Callithrix jacchus: one gene and its partners. The main gene of each other region encodes a partner of the protein of the gene in region 3 in a complex. Links are inferred from orthologs where the notes say so. Each region holds a gene or a part of one and is shown on either strand. Other genes may lie near its edges.

Region 1 (3,646 bases), on a different chromosome or scaffold from region 3:
CAATAAAATATCTATATATGTAAAAGACCTTATCTCAGAATAAAAAAGTCCTCATCTAGAAAGGGCAGTGAGCAAGCTAACATTTTAAAAAACACATGTTAATTTAATTATGTTGCTGAAAAAAAACACATATTAATTCAATTATGCAACAAAACGAATGCACATACACACACAACAGTTTCACCAAATGCAGCAGGGCCTCAAATGGGCTCCAAAAGCAGCAGGAAGCCAGAGCCTCCTCTAACAGGGACAGGACTACAGAACGCTTCTGGAGCCTGCAGCAGGGACTGCAAAAGAGGGCCCAGGCAGAGGAGCCTATAGAAGCCTGTGCAGCCACAGGGCCCAGGCACGGCTGGAGACACCATTCCCCACCACTTCCCAACTGGGACTGGGCCCATCACTCTTTGTAACCTGAAGTCCTTCAGAATACCTGAGTCCTCTGCAGCTGTGTCTACAGTGAGCAATCCCAAGAACTTGTAATGAAGAAAAATACAACAATTTTATAGAACAAAATTATAAAAATCACCCCAAAATCTGCAAATGGCCCTCCACAGTCTGAGACCACAAAACACCCAGTCCTTCTGCTCATTGCCGTGGCTTTCTCTCTGAGCGAACCCACTGTGTTTTCAACACAGCTTTCCCACACAGTCCTGGTGCTCACACTCACAGGCAGTTTGGGTTCTGTCCTCAATCAGACGAATGAACTGGCTTCCGATCCTGTCCCCAGAGTCTGTGGGTGCACTTGTGTGAATGCAATGCTGAACGCCAGGCCCACTCAGGGTGCTAACAAGGCAGGCCTTTAAGCCATGATGGCTCAGGGCCCCAAATGGCCTCCAGCTATTGCCCCAAAATGAGAAGTACCCACAGTGAGACCTGGAAGACAAGTAACTGGTCTCTAGGCTGAGCTAATACTGACCCATCTCAACTACAAAAGACTTGAGCAGATCCTGCATGGGCCTAGGGGGACTAGTCCCCAGAGAAGACTCCCACCCAGGCACATGCCACTCACCTGCATGCTCTGCTGGTACTGCATCTGCAGAGAACCTGGGGCCGAGGTGGGAATATCCAGTCCAGATCCTCCCTCCACACGCTGAGAGATGAAGTTGTTCAAAGATCTCAGGGTGGATAAAACCGTGGTGTTTTCCCCTAGGTCTTCCATGGTTGCTTTCCTTCTGGAGGGGGACAAAGACTGGTCAGATACAGCCTTGCCACATGCCATCAGCTGTGCAGTCAGGGGCGCTCTGGGCAGCCCCACTCCCCTAACTCACGTTGGAGCCCATAATATACCAGTGTCTGTAACCACATTCTTCAGAGGCAACTGGCAGCCGCGCTGCCAACTTACCAGACAAAAAATGGACGCAAGAAAGAATGCCACCAGACCCCTGCCACCAAGCCACCGACTAAGTGTCAACTGCACAGAGGGACAGCTGGTGCCCAGGAGGCGGTGCTCAGCACTCAGGTGGCACGTTCCCCTCAAAGCATTGTAAGAAGATGCTCCAAAGAGACAGAGCCAACAAGACACAGAGACAGACACACGAGAGGGGCTTTATTAGGGAAACTGACTCACATAATTAGGGAGACTGTCCCACAACAGGCTGTCTGCAGACTGGAACCCTAAGAGCCTGGCAGCGTGGCACAGTCCAAATCTGAAGAGCCAATGGAGCTGATGGTGTAATTCTCAGTCCAAGGGACTACTGGGACAAGTCCTGGAGACCAAAGGCCAGCAAGCCTGGAGTGCTGCTGTCAAGGAGAGGAGAGGAAAACTGCATCCCAGCTCCAGCAGGAAGATGGACATGTTTGCTTTTTCTCTGTCCTCTCCAGGACCTCAGGCTCTTGAATGATGCCCCCAACACTGAGGGTGGATCTTCCCCACCTGATCCACTCAGACTCCTAAGCTCATCTCCTCTGGAAACACCCTCATCGGCACATCCAAAAGCAAAAACAATGCTTTCCCAAGTTTCTAGGAGTTCCTGAATCCAGTCAGTTGACACCTGAAATTAACTACCAGGAGCACTCACAAAGTCTGGCTTCTTACCCAGACACGGTGGCTTACACCTGTGATCCCAGCACTTTGGGAGGCGGAGACACGCAGATCACTTGAGGTCAGGAGTCCAAGACCAGATTGGCCAACATGGTGAAACTCCATCTCTAAGAAAAATGCATAAACTAGCTGGGTGAGGTGGTATGTGCCTGTAATTCCAGCGCTACTCAGGAGGCTGTGGCACAAGAATGGTTTGAACCTGGGAGGTGGAGGTCGCAGTGACCTGAGATCACACCACTGCACTCCAGCCTCGTTATAGAGTGAGACTGTGCCTCAAAATAAATAAATAAAAATAAATTAAGGCCAGGCAATGGTGGCTCACACCTGTAATCCCAGCACTTTGCAAGGCCAAGACAGGCAGATCACCTGAGGTCAGGAATTCGAGACCAGCCTGGCCGACATGGTGAAACCCAGTCTCTACTAAAAATACAAAAACTAGCTGGATATGGTGGCACACACCTGTAATCACAGCTACTCAGGAGGCTAAGACAGGAGAATCACTTGAACCCAGGAGGCAGCGGTTGCAGTGAGCTGAGATTGCACCCTTAACTCCAGCCTGGGTGACAGAGCAAGACTCCATCTCAAAAAAAATAATTTTATTTTAAAAAGTCTGGCCTCTGGGAATCGGAAATGAGACACACAACAGTGACAGTAAAGATGATGATCACCACAGCTGTGCTAATTTTCATTGTTTATTTCTAATGACGTTAACAAGCACTACTACTATTTTCAACTAGGTACTGGAAAGAAAGGTATCTGACATTTCCGAGGACCTAGACTTCTCGACCTTGAGTTTCCTCATCTGGAAACTCATGAGAGTGAAATTCACTTGCAAAGTTGTGAGGATCAGGATCAATATCCCTCAAGTCTTCCACTGCTAGATGATGGGAACATGGCTGCAGGTTGACCAGCACTATACTTGCAAGCTCAATCTTAACAGGATGGGGAATTAGGTCTTTTTACAAATTCTAGAAATGATGAAACTGAAGCTTCAAAAGTTACAGAACTGAGGTTGGAACCTGGGTCTGTCTAGCTTTGCAAGGCTGAAGACAAGCCGTAACAAAGAACTTTGCACCCCTAAAACCTGCACTTATGATGGTCCCACGCCACGCCGGCCCTCCAGCCACAAGGGGAACAGCCAAGAGCGTTTAACAGCCAAAAGGTGGAACTCCTGCAGCTACACTTTCTGAGTTTTCATTTAACAAGAACCTTGGCCTGGTGCAAGCAGAGTCCTGAGCTCCAGCTCCCCAGGCTGCGAGCCCCGCACAAGCAGGCCCGCCTGGAAGGAGGCTCCACAGCCCAATTCCTCCATAGCCCAGACGAGACCAGGGCGGCCCTTACCATCCCCGAGGGGAAACAGGGCCCACACCACCCCCTTCCAGATAGCGGACCCGCGCGAGCCACCAGGATGGCAACAGTCCCTACAAACCCGACTTCCCCACCAGGCGCCAGCTCAGGCCCCTTCCTCCGCGCGCCCGCGCCCCAGCCCAGGGACCCCCACGGCGGGCACCGGGACCCTGGGGCTGGGGCCACAAGTGCGAGACCCTCGGCCGCCCGCCCTGGCACAAGGCACGGCTGTGGCGCCCCAGGCGAAGGACCCGCTGT
Region 2 (4,227 bases), on a different chromosome or scaffold from region 3:
TAAGAGTTCAAGTGAGCTGAATACCAAGTGCTGACAGAAGGGACTCCCAAGGGATCCAAACTGATTCATAGAGCAGAACCCCATAAAGGTTTAGTAATTGGTGATATAGGCACCACAGAGGCTAGAGTGAATATGGGGAAATGAATAGAAATCTGTGTAAAGACGCTTAGATCACCTGCCAAATTTCTCCCTCACCAGAGGGAAGATTTTCCAATATTATGTTTAAAGAATCCCCCAACAAAGAGATCACCAGGTTCCCATCTAATCTCCTTATAGTGAAGTCTATCAGTTCCTAAGGCCTACGTATGCAAACAGAGCTTGTAATGATTTATTCTTTTTTTTTTTTTTTTTTTTTTTTGAGATGGAGTTTCACTCTTGTTGCCCAGGCTGGAGTGCAATGGCACAATCTAGCTCACCACAACCTCCGCCTCCTGGGTTCAAGCAATTCTCCTTCCTCAACCTCCCGAGTGGCTGGGATTATAGGCATTTGCCACCACACCCAGCTAATCTTGTATTTTTAGTAGAGACAGGGTTTCTCCATGTTGTTTCAGCTGGTCTCAAACTCCCAACCTCCAGTGATCCACCTGCCTCAGCCTCCCAAAGTGCTGGGATTACAGGTGTGAGCCACCAGTGCTGGGCCTGATTTATTCTTAAATATTCACCAGACACAGAATAAAAGCCTCCAACATGGAAGTCAAAGACCAGAACAAATGGGGAATGGATTCTGGAAGAAACTGAGATACTGCAAGGAACAAAGAAAAACTTCAAAAATTCAATAATATCCTCAGGCAAAAGAAGTTCATGGGGGTGGGATGTGGTCGGGGGGTGGCTCACACCTGTAATCCCAACACTCTGGGGGGCCAAGGTGGGTGGATCACCTGAGGTCAGGACTTCAAGAGGTGAAACCCTGTCTCTACTAAAAATACAAAAATTAGCCCAGCGTGGTTGCACATGCTTGTAATTCCAGCAGCTTGGGAGGCTGAGACAGGAGAATTGCCTGAACATGGAAGGTGGAGGTTGTAGTGAGCTGAGATGGCACCACTGCACTCCAGCCTGGACGACAAGAGCAAGACCCTGTCTCAAAATAAACAAACAAAAAAATTAGCCGGGTGTGGTAGTGCATGCCTGTAATCCCAGCTATTCGGGAGGCTGAGGCAGGAGAATCACTTGAACCTGGGAGATGGAGGTTGCAGTGAGCCAAGATTGTGCCACTGTCCTCCAGCCTGGGTGACAAAACAAGACTCCATCTCAAAAAAAAAGTAGTTCCTACAGAAATTAAACAACAGGATGCTATTAAAAAGAAACGTGCAGGTCAGGCACAGTAGCTCACACCTGTAATCCCAGCACTCTGGGAGAGGCTGAGGCGGACAGATCACTTGAGGTCAGGAGTTTGAAACCAGCCGGGACAACATGGTGAAACTCTGTCTCTACTAAAAATACAAATATCAGCCAGGCATTGTGGCACGTAACTGTAATCCTAGCTACTGGGGAGGCTAAGGCAGAAGAATCACTTGAACACAGGAGATGGAGGTTGCAGTGAGCAGAGATGGTGCCACTGCACTCCAGCCTGGCAGAAAGAGGGAGACTTGAAAAGAGACAGTTCATTAAGTCCAAATGCAACACATGAGTTTGAAAGAAAGAAGAGGAGAAAAAGCCAGAAGGGTTAGGCTACCAAAGACTAGAGTAGGGAGAAAGTGACTAAAGCCCTGGAAGTTGCTTAGGCTGACAGGCTCTGAAGATTTTAGACCCCTTTTCTTTCTCTTTTTCTTTTTGAGACAGGGTCTTGCTCTGTTGCCAGGCTGGAGTGCAGTGGTGCGATCTTGGCTCACTGCAACCTCTGCCTCCTCGGTTCAAACAGTTCTCCTGCCTCAGTCTCCCAAGTATCTAGGACTACAGGTGCATGCCACCATGCCCAGCTAATTTCTGTATTTTTAGTAGAGATTTCTCTACTAAACTGGTTTCTCTATGTTGGCCAGGATGGTCTTGATCTCTTGACCTTGTGATCCCCTTTTCTACCTGCCTCCCATCTAAGAGCCACAAAGTGTTCCCACCAACTTGCTCCCAAAGCCTGTGCCTACCTGGGGAGAAGGTTTTCGGTAAAAGTGCTTAAGCTGTTCATAGGGTAGAGGTAGTTGTTGGCGTTGGTACATGATATGCTTTAGAAGTTCACAAGTAAACCGAGAGCAGCCTTCCTGGCTCACAGGCCCAGGAAACACCACTGGTACCATGCAGTCTCTTGGGCAAAAGGGCTCCAAAGGGTTGGGGGGTTCCTGGGTAGAGGTTGTCTCAAGTAGTTCTATCTGAGAGGCGTGAGTTTCTCCGGACTTCTCATACCACTCCAAATCTGGAAGGTGAAAAGAGGGTCAAGAGAGAAAAATTAAAAACCTAAAAGCCAAAGTCAATCTTCTGATTCCCTGTGGCCACCATACCTGCCACCCTGCGAAAAGGGGCACTCCGACATACGCACATACCCTCCGCAGCCTACAGTGTGGGAGAGGCAGGGAGAGATTCCTGATTCCTGTTGCCTGAGATTTAACTGACTGCAAGATAGTGGGGGGATTTCGGAAGTAGTACTAGGGCTCCGCTTAGAAAGCAGCGGGACCTGATCTGGGTAAGTAAGTCAAAAGTGTAGTCAAGCAGGGTCCAGGACGACCCAGGGCGATGGAGTGACAGCCAGAGCCGTGTAGGACACCCGGAAGACAGGGAAGACGGGCTGGGGAGAGGACCAGGGGATAAATGAATGGAGGGCGCGACAGTAGGAAAGAAACAGGTCCCCAAGGCTCCCCAAACTCTGGACCCCATGTCTTACCAGGGACCGAGGCCGCCTCCGGCGCCGCCATCTCGACCACCTCCCTCTACTCCTTGCGGTTACGATAAAGATCCCGCGGGGCATCATGGGAAGCCCACGCCTCCACTTCCGGCTCAGATGGGCCGGAAGAAGGCGCGGCGCCGTCGCAGTGTTGGGGAGGCTAGATGGATGGGATTTGAATCCTGCTTTCCTTCCTTAACACCCTGGCAGGTGTACACCCAGCCCTTGCCCAGCAGGCTTCTCAGCCATCGAGCGCTCCTTTCCAAAAGACACCAGCCCTCCCGCATCCATTCACTCCTGCATTCACTACCCACTGTGCACCTCCTTCGTGCCAAGCCCTGTTCTAGATCCTGGAGACTCAGCAGAGAACAAGCCAGTCACAGACCCCGTGTTCAAGGGGTTCACTGCCTGTAGATACAATACAGTGTGATAAATTATACAGAAGCGTGTACACGGGCTGTGGAAGCAAAAAGCAAGCGTGCGTAGGGGCTGGGAAGGCGTGGTCGCAGAAAAAATAGGTGAATCTGTGACCTGTAGGATAAGTCAGCAAGGTAAAGAGGAGGGCCTAGAGCTCCTACAGACCTTGAGACAAGAGCATACTCTGTCCAAGCAATGAAAAGAATTCATATTTTAAAGAGTTAAGGCTGTAGTGAACAACAGAACCCAGACCATGGCAGGACTGTATAAGCCACGTGAGAGTTTGGACTTGATCCTGTAGGCGGATGGGGAAGCTTTGAAAGGTTTAAGTAGGAAAGTGGCCTGATTAAATTACTTCTTATAAATTTAATCTCTACCCTGGCTGTAGGGTAGAGATTGGATTACAAGGAGGATAAGAGAGGAGGGAGAGATACCAGTTAGAGGTAGTGACTGCAGTTACCCAAGTACTTAATGAAAGCAGCCTAAACTAGGGTAGTCACAGTTCGGTGGAGATAATTGGGTAAACTCGAAATATTTAGGAGGTCTAGTAAACATAACTTGGTGATTGATGCAAGGAGGAGGAGGAATAGAAAGAGACTGACAAGAAAACAAGCAGGTTTCTAACCTCAGCAATTGTAAGGTCAGCTGTGCCATTCAATGTCAGAGGGAAGGAGGGTGCTGAAGCCAGGGGTTCGCTACCAGCCAGGACAACATTGGGGACCCTGTTTCTGCAAAATTAAAAATTAAATTGATTTGCAGTAGCTTTGATTTAAAAAGAAAAAAATTTTTTAATTTAAATTTTAAAAAAAGTTAGCCAGATGTCATGGTACACATCTATAATCTCAACTATTCAGGAGGTTGAGGCAGAGGATTGTTTGATTCCAAGAGTTCAACACTTACAGTGAGCTATGATCATGCCACTGCACTCCAGCCTTGGCAACAAGGCGAGACAATGACTCAAAAAGAAAAAAAAAAGGATGGGGCCAGGTATGGTGGCTCAT
Region 3 (3,646 bases):
CAGTAAGTATCATTTTGGTTTTTTCCATGTCAAAATTCACCATTGAAATAAAATGTATCAACTATAGATGACTTGATTTCAGGAAAACCACATTTCAAAATAACAATTACATTATTTTTCTCTTGTCATTCTCAGTCATTGACAGGAATTTTGTAGGCCACCATGCTATTTACTTTGTGGATTGTAGTAGTAAATGAACGAAGGCGGACTTCCTCAGAATTGGTAATAAACTGTGGTCCCGACTCTTCCCATTTTTCAGGTACAACCAAATCCTTGTCTGTATAAATCAGCAGATCAAATGAACCTAAATTGGGGATAAGATCATGAAATTGTTTTTCCAAAAGTAAAACTAATCTTGCTGCCTCTTTTCTATTTTGAACCACTCACTACTAGAAAAGGTCATATGGCTTGGTCTCTGATTAATCACTAATTTATTTTGCTTGATGAACATTTATTTTAGTAAGAAAATATTGTATCTTTCTAACTTCTGTGGCAATGTAGTGATTGTGTTCAAGTAACCCTTATCTTACTTAATAATGGTCCCAAAGTGCAAGAATAGTGACACCAGCATATTGTTATAATTGTTCCATTTTAGTATTATTGTTGTTAACTATTACCGTGCTTAATTTATGTTAAATTTTATCATAGGTATGTATGTATAACATAAAAACATAATATATATAGGGTTCATATTATCCATGGTTTCAGGTATTTGCTGTGGGTCTCCCTATGAAAAGAGAGACTACTATACACTACTTTTGCTTTATAATGTTTTTCCTTCAATTGACATTACATAATATTAATAAATAAGACAAAATTTAATAAAGGGGTGATTAAAGTAGTTTAGTCTTTTTGCCAATTAATTTAATTCAACAAGAAGTTGTATAATACTTACAAGAAACTTCCAACAGTGGCAGAAATGTCACTGTAGCTGTGATCTGTCTGATCACTGAACGGATTTCATCCTGGATAGCTTTCTGAGACTTTTCTCTGGGTGCACTATCAAAACAAAACAAAACAAATCAATGAATTCATTTTAGGTCTTAAACATAGTGGTAAGATTATTTATCTGATTAAATGCTCCCAATATCAGACAAGCAATGCATTAAAAAGGCAGTTTGTAAAAAATACAAGTCAAAATATCCTTAAGACCTTTAATCTAGCAGACACAATGTACAACCTTATTACTTCATTTATCCTGCCAGTCATCTTTTAGAGCTGGTCTTAATGTCAGGTCATTTAATATCAGATGACTAGAAAATCTGCCAACCACCTCAACATAGGGAAACTTCAGCATCTTTTGAAATAAAAATAACAAGTGTTATCTAAAATATTTAATTGGTATAATCATTTCAGTATTTTTAGTAATGCCTAAATGTTTAATTTCCTATTGTCTCAAATAAAACATTAAATTATATATCTAATTATTTTTATAAGCTAAAAATTTCCTAAAATAAACCAAAGGCTTCAAAAGCAAACTATATTTCACTATGAGAAATGGTTCTGCATTTATAGAAATGCATGCCTAGAACTATGTTAAACATTAGGGTATAAAGATGGAGATTTCTCTTCCAGGGAGTCTGAAACCTTCAGAAAACTATGAAGTGTCTTAGGAAACAGATGGCATTAAAGGAAGTACAGCAGAGCTGCATCTTAAATTGTGTGAGTCTCAGATCATTCCTTACAGTCAGAAATATCTTTGAATAATTCATTAAATGGTCTCTCTAGTATATCATGTGTAGTTTTGTATATGTCACCATAAATACTGTTTGAAAACTACTGATTTAGACTAAAGACAATTATGTTAAATGTATATTATATATACAAATCAATGATATGCTAAACTGAGGACAATTCTTTTCCATAGGTGACTGAAGATATCTTAGAAAATATAACTTAGAAATAAACTATATTTTATATAAAACTAGTTCAAAATTAGAACTCAATTAGTAATAAAAATAAGTTTTGAAAAAAAATAACAGTAGAAATAATGGAATTCCTACTTACCTGTCATCTTTTGCAGTCTTGTCACACTCAATATCAAACTGCCATCTTTCTAGGACCTCACCACTTTCAATGTTTGAGATAACTACAACCAGTTTCTGAACCGAACACTTGTATAACCAATCTGCAATATATAAAAAGAAAGACATCTTTTTAGGTCTACTGCATTATACAGTAGCTCTCTTCTCTGGTCCCACTCCCTATCCTCAGCAAATTCCTACCACTGGTATCTTGTACCTCCTTCTACATGCAACAAAATTTGCCCCATCAATAACCTAACTTCTCTCTTCAAATTCTCAGTGTCTGTGCCAGGTATAGCAATTGGTGCTAAGGACCGAATACTGAACATGTGGTACTTTCATCCTAATCCAAGATAAAAGCATAGGAGATGGGCATTAATCCAATCATCACACCAATAAATGAGAGATTAAAACTGTAATGGCTGCTATGAGAGCATGAAAAAAGGAAAATTTGAGCCACTTAGGAGGTCAGAAAAGGCTTGAGTTTACCTCTAGGGATAAACAGCATTAAATATGCAAAAGAAGAGGAAAGAAGATATACTCACAAGGGAAGAGCATATAACTAGAGGACTGGAAGCAGTCCACTACAACTGCAGTCAAGAAACAAACAAAATAAAACAAGGTAATCCTGGCAAGATAAGTAGGAGTCAGACATGCAAAGCCTGATGGATCAAATTAAAGAAATATACACTTCAAGACCAGGGAAGTCATTACTGTGTGTGAAGCAGGATGCAAAGCAATTAAGACTTATATTTCAAAACTATCGTTCTACCTGTGATACGGAAAGTGGAGTGGAGATGGTAAAGAGGGGATCTAGAGACACTAGTTAATCAGTAATTTAAGCAAGAGTTAGTGAAAGCTTATAAGAGGATAAATGGTAGAGATGGAGCATTAGGTAGATTTAAGAGATTTCATGGTTAAAATTTATTAGGTTTAGTCACAGTAGTTTGGAAGAAGTATGATTCAGGGATAGCTTCCAAGTTTATTTCTGGTTGGACAGTTTAGCCATTTACTGAGAGAAAAAAAGAGAGAGAATTAAAGAGTATCAGTTTTGGAGATGATCCTAAATTTAGTTTTTAGCATGCTTGAGTGTACATTATCTCTGGGATAGCTACATAAAGATATAGCTGCTGGATATATGGGTCTGGAAAAAGAGGCTTGAGATAGATACAAGTTTGTGAGTTTACTACACAAAGGTTTTAAGTGAAGCTATACAAGGTCAAAGACCACCTATAGAGAAATTAAAAAGAGAGAGAACAGGGGCTAAGATTGAGCCTTGAATTAATCTTGGAAATTGGAACAGCATATCAGGAGTCAGCCAAGTTTTTGTAAAGAAATAGAGTAATTAGTAAATATTTTAGGCTTATAGGCCACCAAGATCTCTGTTGCTTATTTTTAAACAAACGTCTAAGTGTAAAAACATTCTTAGCTTGTGGGCAGTGCAAAAACAGAGACCACCTGTTGGATGTGGCCTGTGGGCCTTGTGATTCATTGGCATTATCAACAACTTTTTATTAGTTTCACTCTGAAAAGGAGGAGACTGGGTGATAATTTGTTGTTTCTCTAAAACTGGAGAGATGAACCCAATGGGAATAATTACAATCAAAACACAGAAGCAGAAA

What was found.
Region 1: the proteins of MAD2L1 (region 3) and MAD1L1 are in contact, whole or in part, in a crystal structure (PDB 1GO4), measured with the Homo sapiens proteins. The link is inferred for Callithrix jacchus from reciprocal best matches to the Homo sapiens genes MAD2L1 and MAD1L1. Residues at the interface, in NP_002349.1 of Homo sapiens: Tyr38, Leu61, Tyr64, Asn67, Val68, Trp75, Gln82, Lys83, Ser89, Ile91, Glu92, Ser93, Gly94, Arg99, Gln101, Ser150, Phe151, Asp152, Leu153, Leu154, Ile155, Tyr156, Thr157, Asp158, Lys159, Asp160, Leu161, Val163, Lys166, Trp167; in NP_001013858.1 of Homo sapiens: Glu527, Arg528, Ala530, Leu531, Gln532, Gly533, Asp534, Tyr535, Gln537, Ser538, Arg539, Thr540, Lys541, Val542, Leu543, His544, Met545, Ser546, Leu547, Asn548, Pro549, Thr550, Ala553, Arg554, Leu557.
Region 2: the proteins of MAD2L1 (region 3) and MAD2L1BP are in contact, whole or in part, in a crystal structure (PDB 2QYF), measured with the Homo sapiens proteins. The link is inferred for Callithrix jacchus from reciprocal best matches to the Homo sapiens genes MAD2L1 and MAD2L1BP. Residues at the interface, in NP_002349.1 of Homo sapiens: Tyr33, Arg45, Thr52, Leu54, Lys122, Asp126, Glu127, Arg129, Ser130, Arg133, Gln134, Thr136, Ala137, Thr138, Thr140, Phe141, Leu142, Leu144, Glu179, Val181, Arg182, Leu183, Arg184, Tyr199, Asp205; in NP_055443.1 of Homo sapiens: Pro61, His79, Tyr82, Gln83, Gln85, Pro88, Leu89, Pro90, Gln93, His96, Ala185, Leu187, Arg188, Phe191, Arg192, Phe195, Asp198, Ala199, Phe200, Ser201, Glu202, Leu203, Gln204, Ala205.

The regions. Positions count from the first base shown.
Region 1 is NC_133503.1:56,813,712-56,817,357, reverse strand, and holds part of MAD1L1 (mitotic spindle assembly checkpoint protein MAD1), read right to left. Parts: intron 1,741-3,646; exon of another isoform or gene 1,568-1,740; intron 1,173-1,567; coding exon 1,010-1,172; intron 1-1,009. UniProt on the Homo sapiens protein: Component of the spindle-assembly checkpoint that prevents the onset of anaphase until all chromosomes are properly aligned at the metaphase plate.
Region 2 is NC_133505.1:52,109,156-52,113,382, reverse strand, and holds the start of MAD2L1BP (MAD2L1-binding protein), read right to left. Parts: upstream 2,895-4,227; 5' UTR 2,841-2,894; coding exon 2,810-2,840; intron 2,345-2,809; coding exon 2,079-2,344; intron 1-2,078. UniProt on the Homo sapiens protein: May function to silence the spindle checkpoint and allow mitosis to proceed through anaphase by binding MAD2L1 after it has become dissociated from the MAD2L1-CDC20 complex.
Region 3 is NC_133504.1:77,662,318-77,665,963, reverse strand, and holds part of MAD2L1 (mitotic spindle assembly checkpoint protein MAD2A), read right to left. Parts: intron 2,129-3,646; coding exon 2,008-2,128; intron 1,000-2,007; coding exon 896-999; intron 305-895; coding exon 132-304; 3' UTR 1-131. UniProt on the Homo sapiens protein: Component of the spindle-assembly checkpoint that prevents the onset of anaphase until all chromosomes are properly aligned at the metaphase plate.